Cricetulus griseus: one gene and its partners. The protein of the gene in region 3 interacts with the protein of the main gene of each other region in a pairwise test. Links are inferred from orthologs where the notes say so. Each region holds a gene or a part of one and is shown on either strand. Other genes may lie near its edges.

Evidence for each region.
Region 1: the proteins of Kif5b (region 3) and Zbtb8a interact in binary tests that used the Homo sapiens proteins (3 or more experiments, as listed by UniProt). The two-hybrid records come from large-scale screens. The link is inferred for Cricetulus griseus from reciprocal best matches to the Homo sapiens genes KIF5B and ZBTB8A.
Region 2: the proteins of Kif5b (region 3) and Prkar2b interact in binary tests that used the Homo sapiens proteins (3 or more experiments, as listed by UniProt). The two-hybrid records come from large-scale screens. The link is inferred for Cricetulus griseus from reciprocal best matches to the Homo sapiens genes KIF5B and PRKAR2B.

Annotation. Positions count from the first base shown.
Region 1 is NC_048595.1:23,683,775-23,686,411, reverse strand, and holds the end of Zbtb8a (zinc finger and BTB domain-containing protein 8A), read right to left. Parts: intron 1,624-2,637; coding exon 1,291-1,623; 3' UTR 549-1,290; downstream 1-548. UniProt on the Homo sapiens protein: May be involved in transcriptional regulation.
Region 2 is NC_048598.1:169,557,013-169,560,239, forward strand, and holds part of Prkar2b (cAMP-dependent protein kinase type II-beta regulatory subunit), read right to left. Parts: intron 2,822-3,227; coding exon 2,756-2,821; intron 2,666-2,755; coding exon 2,527-2,665; intron 1-2,526. UniProt on the Homo sapiens protein: Regulatory subunit of the cAMP-dependent protein kinases involved in cAMP signaling in cells. Type II regulatory chains mediate membrane association by binding to anchoring proteins, including the MAP2 kinase.
Region 3 is NC_048596.1:208,258,333-208,261,992, reverse strand, and holds part of Kif5b (kinesin-1 heavy chain), read right to left. Parts: coding exon 3,558-3,660; intron 2,195-3,557; coding exon 2,006-2,194; intron 1,583-2,005; coding exon 1,465-1,582; intron 759-1,464; coding exon 697-758; intron 598-696; coding exon 488-597; intron 1-487. UniProt on the Homo sapiens protein: Microtubule-dependent motor required for normal distribution of mitochondria and lysosomes. Can induce formation of neurite-like membrane protrusions in non-neuronal cells in a ZFYVE27-dependent manner.

The DNA of each region.
Region 1 (2,637 bases), on a different chromosome or scaffold from region 3:
ACAGGGTTTCTCTGTGTAGCCATGGCTGTCTTATAAGTCAATTTGTAGTTCAGGGGAAAAAATTTTTAACTTTTATGTTTTACCTGCATGTATGTTTATACACCACTTGAGTGCCTGATGCCCACGTATCAGAAATAGGTGTTAAGACTCCCTGGAACTGGAGCTACAGATGGTTGTGAGATGCCATGTGGGTGCTGGGACTCAAATATGTGTCCTCTAAAGAGACAGTACTCTTAACTGCTGAGCCATCTCTAAAAGCCCCTGGACTTGAATTTTTTTTTTTTTCCCCCGAGATAGGGTTTCTCTGTGTAGCTTTGGAGCCTATCCTGGCTCTCACTCTGTAGACCAGGCTGGCCTCGAACTCATAGAGATCCGTCTGCCTCTGCCTCCCGAGTGCTAGGACTAAAGGCGTGCCCCACCAACATCCAGCTGGACTTGAAAAAAAATTTTTTTTATAAATACATATTCAGGATTTCTTTTCTTTTTTTTAAAGACTTTATTTATTATGTATACAACATTCTGCTTCCATGTATATCTGCACACCAGAAGAGGGCACCAGATCTTATAACGGATGGTTGTGAGCCACCATGTGGTCGCTGAGAATTGAACTCAGGACCTCTGGAAGAGCAGTCAGTGCTCTTAACCTCTGAGCCATCTCTCCAGCCCCTGGACTTGAAATTTTTAATACATTTGCTGGGGCCTGCAATTGGGTAGCCAGACTCCCAAATTCAGTCTTGCCTGATTCCCTGTGAGGTTTAGTATTATAACATACATGCTTTTAAAATACATTAACATTTTGTAGGCAGGTTTATTGGTGGGTGAAGGTAAGGGGCCCTGCCACCAAGAATTCCATCCCACATGGTAGGATTTTCTTCTGGCTTCCTTCCAAACACAGGCTCCCCTCCTCCCCAAAACAAAATGAATCAATAAAAATATAATAGAAAAGATTGTCTTAAAGTTTTGTGATAGATTAATTTAAAATATTTTACTCAAAAATGTTTGCTAAATAGATTTTTCCAATATTTAAACAAAATGCCATCTGTGTAATAACAGAAAGGGTAACTGATCATCCATCATGCCAATACAAGCAAGGTCTTCCCAGAGCAGCAACATAGTTCAGGGCAACCAAGTTCAGAGTGGATACAATGGCCTATTCAAAAAGCATGCAAGTTACACCAGGTCACTTCTAAGCCAGCCGGAGAAATCCATTAACCGGGCTCTGCCCATGGAGAGATACAGGACGTCCATGTAAACTGCAGGCAGGCCAGCTCTGAGGAGTCGCACTTCAGGCTACCTAATGTTGGGTTTGATTTCCTTCTCCTCTTCTTCCTCACTATCTTCAACCTGTTTTATGACCAGATCGGCAGACCCGTCCTCCACAATCTCCACGTAGGATCTATTCTCTTCCTCACTCAGATGCCACCTCGAATCCTTATCTCCATCTGCGGGGGACATGCAGTGTTGCTCAGCTTCCAGATCAACAGGGAGGCTGTCGATGCCAGCTTCAGCAAGGCACTCGTTACACAGTCTGTAGCGCCTGGTTCCTTCCTGCACCACCTGGCCTGTGAGGTCAGTCACGTGACGTTTGCATTTCCTGCAGATTAGTTTGCATGCCTGATGGATCTGTATAGAGATTTAAGAAGTGATTAAAATAAGTTTTCAGCTGGGCATTTCATTGGTGGCGCACGCCTTTAATCCCAGCACTCGGGAGGCAGAGGCAGGCGGATCTCTGTGAGTTCGAGGCCAGCCTGGTCTACAAGAACTAGTTCCAGGACAGCCTCCAAAGCCATAGAGAAACCCTGTCTTGAAAAAACAATAAATAAATAAGTAAATAAAATTTTCAAAAGTGTGTCAAGTTTGCTATTTTAGGGACCAGTTCATATTCTTCAGATGCTCAAAGCCATACATTAAATTCAAGTTAAGATCTAATTATCAGAAAAGATCCCAAGATATTGACAAATGCACACCATGGACACATCACATATCAGCTTTCTCTAAAAATGACTATAAGGTTTTTCTTTAAATTATTTTATTATATATACAGTGTTCTGTCTGCATGTGTTCCTGCAGGCCAGAAGAGGGCCCCAGATCTCATTGCAGATGGTTGTGAGCCACAAAGTTAGATGGAGGCTGGATAGATGGCTCAGCAGTTAAAAACACTGGCTGCTCTTCCAGAGACCTGGGGTCAATTCTCAGTATCTACATGGTATCTACTCATAACCATTTAAAAGTTCAGTTTCAGGAGACCCAGTACCCTCTCTGGCTTCTGAGGGCATCAGGCATAAGTATGCAATATGCAGACAAAACACTCATACACATAAAAATTAAAAAAGAAAAGCTTTTTAAAAGATTTATTTTTTAAAAAAAAAAGAGGACTGGAGAGATTGGCTCAGTGGTTAAGAACACACATTGTCTTTCCAAAGAACCTGAGCTCAGTTCCCAGCACCCACACTGGGCAACTCACAGCTGCCTTTGTAACTCTAGCTCTAGCTGTAGCTCTAGCTCTAGAGAGAGGGAGAGAGGGAGAGGAGAGGGAGAGAGAGAGGAGAGGGAGAGCTAAAACTAAGTTTTTAAAAAAGCTTTATTATGTATGCAGTTGTATACAGTGTTCTGCCTGCACGTATGCCTGCGTGCCAG
Region 2 (3,227 bases), on a different chromosome or scaffold from region 3:
TGAGGGTCTAACATGGCTCAGTCTCAGAGCTCTCAAAAGTAAACAGAACTCCCGAAAAGTGCTACAAGAGTGTTTCTTCCCTTCTTTTCGGAGTGCATGATATCATGCTGTGAAGATTTTTACACATTTATACCTTTGTCTACACAATTCAAACTGGTGACTAACATAATGCTTTTCTTCTGCATCTATCAATATATTCATCACTTTGCTTGTCCGCCTCATGCATTTTCTTTTTATTTTGTGGTTTTGGTTTTGAGACAGCCTGGTTAAATAGTTCACACTGACCTTGAACAAACTGGCCTTGAATTTATGATCCTCCCACTTTTGGTACTGGAATTACACACAGTAGGCCTGGCTGTTTCATGCATTTTAAACTTGAGTTTATAATATATGGCTTAACATATCAAATTCTCTCTCTCAAATTTGCATAGGTTAAAAAGGTAGGTTTTATAAGGTTTTTATGGGACATTCTTGCATGGTATAGAAGGCACAATAGCAAAAAAAAAATTGACTATAGGCAAATGAACTAAATCTCAAAACAAGTAGCCAATAAATACATAAAAAATAGCCATCTGATAAATTCAGGTCACTACTACATTGAGATTTCCATCTCACCAAAGTCAAAGCAGCAATCACCAAGAAACAACAAAGGTCAGTAAGGTCTCTTGAAGAATGGAAGCCTTGTCCACCAGTGATGAGATTATAGATTAGTGCAGCTGCTAGGAAATCAATACATACTTTCCCCATTAAAGACTAGACCTACAATTTTATCCAGCCTCTACCCTCCCAGGCAATGTCTGGAGGAGTCAAAGTCAGCACATCAGAGAGAGATTCACCTGCCCGTGTATATTGCAGCACTATTCACAATAGCCAAGTTATGGAATCAGCCTAAGTATCAACCAAAAAATGGAAAAATAAAGTGCATACACACAATTCAGTGTTACTCAGCCACAAAGAAAAATAAATTGTAACATTTGCAGAAGAATGAACAAAACTTGGAAGTATCATGCTAAGTGAAGCAGACACCGTACATTTTTCTACAGGCGAAGGGGGAAATCTAAATAAAAACTCTGAAAGTGGGAGGGGCTCTTTGAAAAGAGCGGGAGACCATCAGGGTGAGTATGGCGAGTGTTCAAAGCACATGCTCCTAACGTAAGTGTTGTAACTTTATATAAGTAATGCACTAATTAAAGAGAAATCGTTTAAAAAGACTGTAAAGAGTCACCTCTGCATATCTATATACACATACAGATTGGACCCAAAGCTCATAAAACATTTACCAGTAAGTGATTAGATAATTTATCGTGTATGCATTTGCCTAATAGAATGTCAAAATTTGATGTATTAACAAAATTCCATAGTGGAAAATTCTTTAAAAACAGAAAACTCATGCAAATCAAACAAGAAGGAATTACAATAGTGGAAGCCATGGGGAGATGGTGATGACATGGGTGTGTCTTGGCTTTTCCTATATTTTTGTATACTTCCTGTATTTCTGCCACTTCCTTTAATGTAATTATTACAGAATGAGCAGCTTCTCACACGCCACCTTTGTCTTACAGTCAACAGCTTTGAGGAGAATCTGTCAGGCGTGTCTTCCCGTTCATCACAGTAACAGTTCACTAATATTGTACTTCCTGAAAACCTTTTACAAAGTGAGTCAGTCTGTAAGGAATATCCTGAGGAACCTTGTAAATCTTAAAAATCATGGAAACTAACCTATTGTTTTGTATTGTGAGGTACACGGGGAGAATAATTATGGTTGAATCGGTTTTTAAAAGTCATTTATGTTAGGGGCTGGAGAGATAGCTCAGAGGTTAAGAGCACTGGTTGCTCTTCCAGAGGTCCTGAGTTCAATTCCCAGCAACCACATGGTGGCTCACAACCATCTATAATGAGATCTGGTGCCCTCTTCTGGCCTGCAGGCATGAAGGCAGGAAGAACATTGTATACATAATAAATAAATAAATCTTTAAAAAAAAAGTCATTTATGTTACTAATTTCTGAACGATCTTTTTCATTACCTAAGTGAGTGATTTCTCAGACACAAAATCTCTGTAGATGCCAACTGAAAGTGGCATTTCTGTCATTCTCCCCAGGTAGACCAAAGCCATAACAAGCTGAGTAACAACAATTGATTATGCTCTGACAGCTCCTATAGACCTGAGCCCCATCCCGGGGTGGGGGTGGGGGGGGGGGGTGGGGGGTGGATATGACTGAATTTTTCATGGTCATCCCAACTTCCCAGCAGAGTTTAATAAAGAACTTAACAACAACAACAACAACAACAACAACAAAAACCGCACCATTTTAGCCTTCTCTTTTGAGGAACACAAAGTATGGCATTTTCTTGACAAATTAAATGTAAAACTTTTAACTGGGAGTTCTTATTTCAATAATTAAAGTAAGTTCAAACCTTAATCATATTTCGTGAGGACTTCAGTACTTGTGAACCCAATAAAATGTCCCATGGGATCTGAGTGCCTGGACTGCAGACATAACCAGGCCTACCACCGTGACCCCTACCTAAACACTTCACAGTCCCAATGGCATGTGCAGACGCTGCTCTTGGTTTGTTAGTGACCAGGGCAAGCTCTCCAAAGTACTGTCCCCGAAAACACCGAGCGATTTCCACAGCACCATTCTCTTCCACTTCTGATTTACCCTGAGAAGGCAGTGAGATGAGTTACATTTAAATCTAACATCATTGAAACATCCTTGCTAATTGAGGAATTTAGGACTGATAAATGTTTACCTTTCTTTTCATAGTAATTTTCACTTCTCCAGATTCTACAATGAAAAAAGAATCTGCCAAATCTCCCTATTAAAAGAAAAAAAAAAACATAGTGAAAATGAAAATTCCATAGCTACCCTGAAATCATGCCCTTGAAGCGAACTTATAAGTTCCAGTTTGTAAGTGAAGTCATACTGAAGAGGCTATTTCATCTTCCACATTCCGAGGTTACAACTGATAATTATGTGGTAACATTTTTATTTTCAAAAACATTTGAAATACACATTCTCTACCAGAAAATAACCTGGGCTAGGAATCTTCCCCGAATGTTGTGCTGAGCCATATACATAAGAAGGTCAGCATGGCTGTGTAATCCAGCAGCACCCCCCAACAGGGTACGTCTGCATTCTGTGCGCCTTGGAAAGTAGCAGCATGCTCCCTGTGTCCACCAAAGTAACCCGCATTAGCACAGTGACTTGCCAGGAGTACCTGG
Region 3 (3,660 bases):
ATCTCTCCAAATCTGTCATTACTTACTTTGTTCCTCCCTTTAGATTTTTTTTTACCCAAATTACCAGGTTTCTCTATCTTATAGTCTATGTATGTGAAGATAAGAAACATGAGAAGAGAAGAAATGGCTTCTAGATAAAAGATAATGACTTTTAAAAATAAAACAACATCCCCATAGTTGGAGATGCCTTTCTCAAACATCTTAGAAGCTAGTAATCACCTACACTAACAAGTTCAAACTGGAGCTCCTTGCTCTCTTTCCCCTATTTTACAAAATATTCTGATGAAAAGGTCTAAAAATATATTTTCAAAACTGATCTGGAACTTGGGAAGTTTTACTAAAAATATGATAAAAATTCTAATTTCACTGAAAACAAGATTCTAGTGAGAATGGGTTTATCTATTAGTATCTTATCATCCTCTCTTGTTTGAAGAGTCAACCTTTTTGAATTAGTTTCTACCAACTCAGCGAAAAATACAACACTTACTCTTGGAGATCAGTGATTAGTTTTTCCTTTGCTTCAACTTCATCTCTCAAACTACTGATTTGTTTCTGGTGAGTTTCTCTGTGACTCTGGATCTGCTGTTCAACAGCTTGCTAAAATTAATTTGGAAGGGGAAAGATATTAAAGTTAGACTAAGATTAATAATAATGATGGATTAAAAACATTAGGACGAACTGGAGCATCAAACTTGCCTTAACTTCATTTGCAGTCTGAACCTTGTTTAAGTGCTCCTTTTCCATTTCATGGACTTTTTCTGTTTGCGTACAAGAGAGTGAGAGAGGGAAAAAAAAAAGAGGACCAAAGTGAGCCTCAAGATTCCTAATAGAAACCAGAGAGCAAATATGTTTTCTAAGAACTTGGCCAAGCTGGCGGTGGTGGCACATGCATTTAATCCCAGCATTCTGGAGGCAGAAGCATGTGAATTTCTGTGAGTTTGAGACCAGCCTGGTCTACAAAGTGAGTACCAGGACAGCCAGAGCTACACAGAGAAACCCTGTTTTGAAAAACAAAAAAAACAACAACAACAAAAAAGGAACTTGGCCAAACTCTCCAAGTTCAATTACACTAGGATACTTCATTAACACCACTGTACTGATATCACACAAAGGAAATGACATAGTTTCTAAGTGTTAGGATTTATGTTAGGATTTACATATATACAAGAGCTTTGTGGGAAATCCCTTGAATTGCTATTTATACTCAATTTTTATACTCAATTTTTCTTTTTTCTCAACAGGTGTGTGTGTGTGCCACACATGTTCACATGAATGTGTTCATCTGTGTGTGTATGTATTTGCAGGCCAGATACTCCTTATGAAAATATTTCAAAGCCACGATGGATAATTTATTTACTATTCCAAATTTTTTATACTCTTACCATTTTCTTTCAGTTTAAGTATGTGTACAACAACTATATAAAAGTAAGGAAGAGTATGGACATAGCAATCAGGAGCCAATACCTTGTGCTCGAAGTTGGACTAGTTCCTCACCAAGAGAATCAACAGATTCCTCCAGCTGTCTCTTCTTTTGTTCTACATTTTGAAGGTATTCAGTCAGTGACTTAATTTTGGCTTCGTGCTTTGGGGAAAAAAATACTGATATGAAGTGGGAAATATCTCACATACACTGTGCAGTTAAAATATGAAGATTAGACAATTATCTATACAGCTTATATCACCTGCAACCTGAGACATTGCTATTACTGACCCTCCTTGAACAGTTCCTCAAGTAGTATCTACCATTACTCAGCAGCCAAAGACAGAACACTGGTCCCTGCAGTTTTGCTAATCCATTTTGTCATCAGTCATATGTTTTTGGCCAATTTCCATACTTAGGATGTACATGTTAAATCATTCAGCTACACTAAGAACTACACTAAGAAAACAAGGCCTTTTGTTACTGAAAGAAAATAAACAGAAGCTTATGATTCTGAAAACCTTTATAATAAAATTTACACATTAATTTTTTAGAACCCCCCCAAAGCCATTATGTAAAACATACTTGGGAGATACGAAGCTGGCATGCTGCTAACTCCTTCTCATTTTCTTCCATTTTTTTGTTGCTCTCAGTCTGTGTGCTTTCTAGTTGTTTGCAGCGTTTCACCATGGTTTTTACTTCTGATTTCATTTTGCTAATGTAGAGCCTTGCAACAGTGAACTCTTCATCTATCATACCAGTTCCCTCTGGTTGCTGTGAGAAAAACATGAAGTAAGTTAAAGCTAGGGCCACATGGTAGCAAACACCTTTAATCCCAGTACTTGGGAGGCAGAGGCAGTAAGATCTCTGTAAGCTCAAGAACAGCCTATTTACAAACTGAACCAAGTGAGAACCTGTCTCAAAATAAAACACCAAATACCACCACCGCCCTCAAAAAGGGGGGGGGGAGTTAAAGCCAAAATTGTTCAATGTCTATTTTCCCAAATTAGGTTTGTTAGCCATTCAGTCTAGGCAAGTCAATGAGGTGCTTTTTCCAAAACATCATGTGTATAGCCAGATAGATAGCTCCTAGGGTAAAATGCATGCTGTCAAGTATGAGGACTTAGATTTTCAGCCACAGAACCCAGGTAAAAGCTCAGCAGGTGTGGTGGTCACTTTTAATCTCTGTGGTAAGGAAGCTAGACAACTGAGCTCTCCCCTTCCACCATGGGTTCCAGGGATCAAATTCAGGCCATCAGGATTATGTGGTAAGTACCCTTGCCCACTAAGCCACCACCACCAGGCCAGAAAGGTGATTTTTAATGGAAAATCTTTACACATTTGAGGGAAGAATCCAATAAGGCTCAATGAGGTTGCATTGTGAATATTCTATTTCTGTGCCCTGGTTTACTCCCTCTTTTCTCATCAAAATTAAGGGGCTGGAAGATGTCTCAATGTTTTTGTTGCTGCTCTTCCAGATGAGCTGAACTGGGTTGCCAGCACCTAGATGGGGCATCACAACAGCTGTTAACTCCAGCTTCAAGGGATATAAGACTCTCTTCTGCCCTTCAGAGACACATGTACACACACGATATACACTCACACATATATAAATAAAAAAAATCTAATAATATAGTTAACACTACCTACCACACATGGTTATGAGGATAACAGGTATGAAAAGAACTTTGTCAAAAACCAAATAGTAGGGCTGGAGATACAGTGTAGTCAGTAAAACACAAAAGCCTGAGGATTTTTTTCTTTTTAAATCCACATTAAAAATATCAAAATTCAAAACAAAACACAGCCAGGTATAGTGGGCACATAATTGTATTCCCAATGCTTGGGAGGAAGGGGTCCCTGTAGGAAGTCCCAGGTCCCATTGAGAGAGAGACTTGTTTAAAAAACAACAACAAACAAACAAACAAACAAACAAAACAAGGAAAGAAGCAAAGAAAAAGAAAACCCCAACCAAAGTGAGTGGGTGCTGAGAAACAATATCTACGACTGATCTCTCACCTTCACACACACCTGAAAACATATGCACCTGCACAATAATGTGTATACACAACAGAACAGTAAGCCTAAGGGTGAGTTGTATACGGAAAATTACATGTAATATTAGTGTCCACGTTACCTTCACATCATTATTTCCCACAGCAATTCCTATTTCTGCAAGGTCTTTTAGTAATGATGCCATCATTTCAGCTGCTCGTTTCTTCTGGTGGTTGGTCATTTCC